Danio rerio: one gene and its partner. The protein of the gene in region 1 interacts with the protein of each later gene in a biochemical or structural test. Links are inferred from orthologs where the notes say so. Each region holds a gene or a part of one and is shown on either strand. Other genes may lie near its edges.

Region 1 (3,835 bases):
TGCATTTGAGTCCTCGCTCCCTCATCCTTCCTGAAACCCTGACAAGGAATGCCTGTAAAAAATTTAAAATGAGAACAACCTCATTTTAACCATTGGAAATCAATAGTATTATATGATACAACTGATAAAACAAATTGGTAAGACTTTTGGTAAGAATTATGGTCCCTATTGGACATTTTGTTGACTAAAGGTTGCAACTACATGCCAATTGCTTCTTGTTTGAGTTATAGTAGACTGTCTGCTTAATATCTGTTAATACTGCTTCTTCAACAGACATTTAACTGACTATTAGAAACTTTGCAAGTACATGTCAACTTACACTAACCCTAACCTTAACCTAACAGCCTAATGTAATATAATCTAATGAGAATTCAAGACTTCACACTTAGCTGATGATTGATTATAAGCAAGTTTGACATACTTTCCCGGAAGAAAGCCCTGAGCCCAAAAGGTCCTTAAGCCCTGGGCTCCATCCCGTTTGCAGGGCAAGGGGGGAGCCTTGAGGTAGATCTCGACAACTCCCCCCTTGATAAGAGCTGATGACTAAAATGAATGCTATGAAGAGATATGCTGCAGGATGAGAGTTTGACTGTAGTGCTAAATTTAGGTTGATCAATTCACATGTAGTGCATGCTTTTGGAATGTGGGGGGAAACCGGAGAACTCAGGGAAAACCCACACGAGCACGGGAAGAACATGCAAACTACGCACAGAAATGGCCTGTTAAAGGACTAGAACCGGTGACATTCTTGCTGTGAGGCAACAGTGCTAACCACTGGGCCACCATGCCGCCCTATGAAGGGAAAGGTGGAGAAGTAGGGGTGGAAGGGGGGATTCTTCAAATCGAAGATGGCTGTAGTGAGAAACCCTGGCTCTTTATAGTGGGTTAGGACTGGCCTGAGTGGTGGATCATACGTAGCTAATGCAGAACCAGCTGTGTTCAGTCATAATCACGTGATCCTCTCGAAATTAGTTTATAAATAAACTTCACTTAGTTGGCATTTAGATGCAATGTAACATAAATTCTACAAAATGCGTTAAAGGGACCATCAAAATAAAGTGAAACCCAAAAAATCTGATAAAAATAACAAATGTAATTTCTGCATTCAGCAATTTAGTTAAGGAGAGAATTAAAATGTAAAAAGTAAATGGTAAATTCTATGTTAGCACTCAGTTAAGGTTAATAAACTTCAGCTCATACGTTTATTGTACTTAAAACTGAAATTTAGTGTACAATGTATCTTTGGGGTAATATAAAAATAGCAAACCTAAACTTTTTGAAAACTGGTGTTGTCATCATGAGCCGTGAAAAAAGCAGTGCATGATGGGCATCGCATAATCAAAAATTGCAATCATCCTTTTTATTAATTTAGGTTTTTTTTAAAGAATCATTGAGTATGTTTACATGGACACCAATCATAATAGTTTTAATTAGATCAAGATAATACTCTGATTAAGAGTCTACCATGTAAACAGCGATTTTTGATTAATTTAATCCGACTAAAGTCATAATCGAACTAAAGAGAAATCGAATTAAGACGTAGAGTATGCAGATTTTAGTCGCATTATTGAAGTGCAGTACAGACATGTAAACACAGCAATCAAACTATTACCGCCATGTAGGATTTTCGCTGCATTTTGCGACAGGATATTCCATACACACTCGGCTGTTTGACACTATTCTCTGCACCTGTCGAGTTAATGAAGGACCACAAACATTAATTGCAGCGCTTTTTTTCCCATACGGCGTGTGGTGTCAAACTCCATTTGAACAACACACGTCCAGCAGTTTATTCTCGCATCCAATATCTCGTTTGTCACGGGGAGCTTGCATGAAATGTTCCTGAATGAAAGTGAAAGTGTCAAATTGCAATTAGGTTCAACAAATCAAAAATGAAACACCTGAAATTACATGAAACTTGGGAGGAAATGTGGATAGCCTGGTGACGCAATGATGTTAATCGAATTATGTGCTATAACATGTAAAGAGGGATCATGAAAGGAACATTTGAAAAGCAACTCATGTAAACACCTTAATCATATTATTGTCTTATTCAGATTAATGCAAATAATTTAACTACTGATGTCCATGTAAGCGAAGTCATTGTAAACATAAACCACAAGTAAAATATACTTGGAATAAGTTCAAAGTGTCTACAATTACCTTTTTAAGTTTTGTTCTTGCTTGTACTAAACTCTAAAATTATATTTGCTGCTTGTTTAAATTACTTAAATTGAGTTGAAACAACACAATTTTTAAGAGTTTTTGAGGACAACGTAATTCTTTTATGTTCAATCCACTTAAATTTGTAAAAACGATGAAGTTAACTTAATCGATTTGTGTTGGGACAACATAACAAAACTGAGAGAAACCCAGCATTTTAAAGTGTAAATTATTTAATTTGGAAATCACTTTTTTTGTAGTATTTTCTTGATCGCATTATAATTTTTATCTCTGTGAAAGAAAGTAAATAGTTTTAGACTTTTTTTAGAAAATGTTTTGGCTCTCATCTTTATGACTGCTTTTGTCCTTTTCCACTACAGCTTCAGTCCCCAGAATCCTTTGCGAAGAGCGTGCAGGAGCTCACCATAATCCTGCAGAGAACAGGAGACCCAGCCAACCTGAACAGCCTCAGAGCTCCTCTCGAGCTGCTGGCCGGCATCGACCACAACCCTGGTGAGCTCTTACACCTCCACAAACACCATGAGATAATATCATTGGAAATAACCGCTATTTGTGTGTGTGTGTGTGTGTGTAGATGCAGCTGCTCCATCTTGGCCAGAGCTGGAGAGTGTGTTACTAGCCGTGAAGGTTGTTGTCCATGGGCTGGTGGAGTTCATCCAAAATTTTAGCAAAAAGAGCACTGAAAGCCCTCAGGTATTGCTTCAGGATCTGCTGAATACATTCATTCCATATTACTTTAATTATAGATGTCAGAAATGCAAAATGTTTTACTGTGATGTAAATGTATTAGGGGTTTTCAAGAAGGTTGACATTGTTTAATGTAGTATGTGACAGATCTAGCTGTTTACTTTACCCTTGATTTCACACTATTATTTATTGGTAATTTTGCAGTATTGCTAATTGGATGGTCTGTTAAAATATACAGCATTTTTGAATTTTAAAAACATATTCATCCTATGATGTAGTTATTCAGTGAGTTATTCAGATTCATCAATATTAGACCTAAAACGTATGAAGCACAGTTGAAGTCAGAATTATTAGCCTCCCTGAATTATATGCCCCTCTGTTTATTTTTCCCCTAATTTCTGTTTAACAAAGAGAAGATTTTCTCAGCACATTTCTTAACATAATACTTTTAATAACTAATTTCTACTAACTGATTCATTTTATCTTTGCCATGATGACAGTAAATAATATTTGACTAGATAGTTTTCAAGACACTTCTATACAGCTTAAAGTGACATTTAAAGGCTAAACTAGGTTAATTAGGTTAACTAGGCAGGTTAGGGTAATTAGGCAAGTTATTGTATAACGATGGTTTGTTCTGTAGACTATCGAAAAAAATATTGCTTAAAGGTGCTAATAGTTTTGACCTTAAAATGTTTTTCTAAATAATTAAAAACTGCTTTCCTTTTAGCCAAAATAAAACAAAGACTTTCTCTAGAATAAAAAATATTATCAAACATACCGTGAAAATTTTCTTGCTCTGTTAAACATAATTTGGTAAATATTTAAAAAAGACAAAAAAATTCAAAGGGGGGCTAATAATTCTGACTTCAACTGTAAATAGTTTACTTGAATATATATATTACACAAATAGCATAATATTTCATTAATATTTATTAAAGAAATATTTTATTAATATGTTTTA
Region 2 (3,495 bases), on another chromosome or scaffold:
CAATAGTCACATCTGAAGAAAGCTTACACTGGTTTTTGTGCGCACGTTCATTTTCTCTGATTCACACCTTAATTTATGAAATGGTCTTAGAACTATTTTAAAACATTTCTGCACAACAATTTTTTGAAGTAATTGTTGGAGCATGAGGAAAGATCCCAACTAAAATTCCTGAATGCTACAGGCATTATAATTTAGCAGAAATCGCAAAGGCCCTTACTTTAGCTTCAGCACATCAGGACATCACTAGTCTCTCACTGCACTGCTGTGAACTTGATCCACTCTTCTCCAGTCTCTTCCAGAGTTCAGTAGGGGTTTCTTAGATATAACTTTGCTGCAAAAGACTTTGCAGACTTTTTAGTCAGGTTTAGTTTGGGACTCTGGTCTGGCCATTTCATTATTTCACTGTGCTCAGCTTAACTTGTTTTATTGTTTTAGACACTTCATTGATTTTGGTTATTTTAAACTTAGGTCTCCAGTTTTTACTCTAGTACCTTTATATACAATGGCTCACTATCTTGAAAAGTCAGTGAAAATAAAAGGTTTGGCTGCCAGTAAAATAGGGTTTATCAGATAAAAAAAATTACCAGCAGCTGCATTTTCGCACCAATAACTGTGAACCTGTGGGGAACTTTGATGTATAAATGATGTCAAAAACACATTGCAAATTGATTTGATGTCAAAACAAATGAGCTATGTTTTCATCCACCTATTTTTATGTGCATTTTGGAAATCGAATGATGGAAACGCCATGATGTGCATAAATTTTGAAAATGCCCATAAAGAACATATGTGCATAACTGAGTAGGATAAACTTTTTATCCTATAGGAAAAAATGTGCAAACTTCGATGGAAACACTTTTACCGAACAAATTCCAGTATGCTCATAAAAAAACTGCGATTTTGTTATAAGAGATCATTTGATGATAAAAAATGTGTGTGAATGGACAAACCAGCAGGCTGACCGTATTGTAAAACCACTGAAATGTTGTTTTGGCCATTCTAAAACGCCATAACCATTTCCGTGTTAATATATTATTAATTACTTCCAGAACTGTCAAGAGTGTCTGTACTCCACATCTCACGCCTTCGAACGCTACCACACATTCATTGTGTGTCGACATCGTCTTCTGAGGCACAAAGTTATTTATTAAATAAGGAAAAGATTCACGCAGCTTCTCCTACTGCAGCAAAAAAAATTTTTACTGTAGATATTTGGTGCCAGTTTTGGTGCTTTATTCGCACATCTTTTATGCTATATTTCAGTTTTGTGGATAAATGGAATTCACATTTTTGGATGGAAACATAGCCATTGTTGTCCATTTGATGACCAAAATAACAACACAAAGTATTATAATATAAGAAAAGTTTTTTTAATCTGAAAGCTTCAATTACAAATATACCTTGGACAAATATTCAAGGTGTAAACTACCTTGATGTCAAAAGAAATTTAAAACAATGATTTAAAAATAAAAAATAAAATCAATTGGGTGTTTTTGGCATCAATATGTTTCCATCCAAAAATGCGAATGAACTTTATGTGCAAAACTGGATTATCGCATAAAAGATAAAATAAAGCAGCGTTTCCATCCAACGAGTCAAAGTGAACAAAATCGTCACTATCTGATTAACTGGTGCCCTATATCAACAGTAAAAACAGAATTTTCTGCAGTAGGAGAAGCTGCCTCAGTCTTTTCCTCATCTAATAAATGACTTGCGGATCAGAAGGCAATCCTGACACGCAGAGAACGCGCGGTAGCGTTTGAAGGTGTCAAGACGCGGAGCACAGACGCTCTTGATTCTGGAAGTTATTAATAATATAACACTAATACTGAAACTGTAAGGTGTTTTAGAATGACCAAAACAACATTTTAGATGGTTTACAGTGTGCTCATACTGTTTGTCCATTCACAGACATTTTCATAATCACACGATCTCTTATCGCAAACTCACATGACCTTTTTTAATGCGCATACTTAAATTTGTCAGGTAAAATATTTTTCATCGTAGTTTATTCGCATCTTTCCTTATTGAATAAAAAGTTCATCCTACTCAGTTATGCGCATGTTTGTTATGTGCATTTTCAAAATTTATGCGCATGATGGTGTTTCCATCAACCATTTTTTAATGCGCATATGCAGAATGCACATAAAAATAGGTGGATGGATGACCATTTGACATAAAAAAGGTGACGAAAATGCAAATTGATTTGATGTCATTTTGTCATCAAGGTGCATGTTGGGAATTATCTAAAAGAGATAGCTAATTTTTAATCATCATTTTAAATATCATTCAAGTTTTTTTAAAACTGTGCTCAATATTACAAACAACCCATGCTTAAAAGCTACTTTTAAATTGTATATTGTTCTCTAATTTTGATCTTTTCTGTCTCATTGTTTCTACTCAATTAAGGTGGAGCGATGAAGGCTTTGTATTCCTACAGTCCTCTGGTAGACTCGTGGACGCTGATAATCCAGCTGGGCTGTGAGAGAGCCAGCTGTGGCATTGCTGCGTGCAACAACAAGCTCTTCATTACTGGAGGCCGCGATGACAAGAATGAGGTGATCGCGACAGTTCTCTGCTGGAACCCGGACACAAAGAAGTTAACAGAGGAGTGTGTGCTTCCACGTGGAGTCTCTCATCATGGCAGTGTGACTATCAGGAAGTCCTACACGCATATACGCAGGATAACACCTGGAACTGCCACTGGATGACAGATATATCAGCTGGAGAGTGCAGTTTTACAGTTTGTATAGTGGAGGCTTTGTTGTTTAGCCTCCTTCTTAGAGCGCCTGCCTCTGTGTGGAACTGAAAAGGTTACATTGGGCTCTACTAACATTTATTAAGCCAGGTTTATATGGAAGCCCTAAGACTGTCTTTCTTGTTCTCTTGGTGTTGACTTTTAAGTTGGGATCATAATAAAATGTGATGTCGAGAACAAAACATGTGACAATGAAAAAAATTCAATGCTGCGTCCCAATTCGCGTACTATCCATCCGAAATACTATTTAAAAATAGAATTTACTGTTAATTAATATCTAGCCCACTGGAAAATATTTAAATTGCGTTGTCTGTGTTTTATTTGATCTGCAACAACAATACTGAACTAATATAAAGATGTGTTTGCACATTAACGTCTGAATGCATAAAGAAAATTCTCTGCATGAAAGACTTGTGAATGGCAGATTATCCTACTGTTGCTTCTCCAGTAAGACAGGAAATTAAATATGGCAGAAATATGGTGAATGATGTGTGGATGATTGGCAGGGCTCATAACGAAGCAACACATTGATCCATTAAAGTGGAAGTAGTGTGTTCCAAAGCTTCTATACTCTTGTTACACAATCAAAAGTATATATTTTATCTTCACAAAAAAGTACATACTTCCAGGGCTTAGTATAAGTAAATGAATTGGGATGCAGCACAAGTTAAAAAGATCAAAACTGTCACAATAATGAAAAAAAAAATGGTCTGGAATAAAAAAAAATCTTTTAAAAA

The links.
Region 2: the proteins of rc3h2 (region 1) and klhl6 form a complex in vitro, tested with the Homo sapiens proteins (2 studies listed by BioGRID, with this or other methods). The link is inferred for Danio rerio from reciprocal best matches to the Homo sapiens genes RC3H2 and KLHL6.

Annotation. Positions count from the first base shown.
Region 1 is NC_133185.1:10,221,689-10,225,523, forward strand, and holds part of rc3h2 (roquin-2), read left to right. Parts: intron 1-2,543; coding exon 2,544-2,676; intron 2,677-2,758; coding exon 2,759-2,877; intron 2,878-3,835. UniProt on the Homo sapiens protein: Post-transcriptional repressor of mRNAs containing a conserved stem loop motif, called constitutive decay element (CDE), which is often located in the 3'-UTR, as in HMGXB3, ICOS, IER3, NFKBID, NFKBIZ, PPP1R10, TNF and in many more mRNAs.
Region 2 is NC_133177.1:39,635,449-39,638,943, forward strand, and holds the end of klhl6 (kelch-like protein 6), read left to right. Parts: intron 1-2,409; coding exon 2,410-2,711; 3' UTR 2,712-2,834; downstream 2,835-3,495. UniProt on the Homo sapiens protein: Involved in B-lymphocyte antigen receptor signaling and germinal center formation.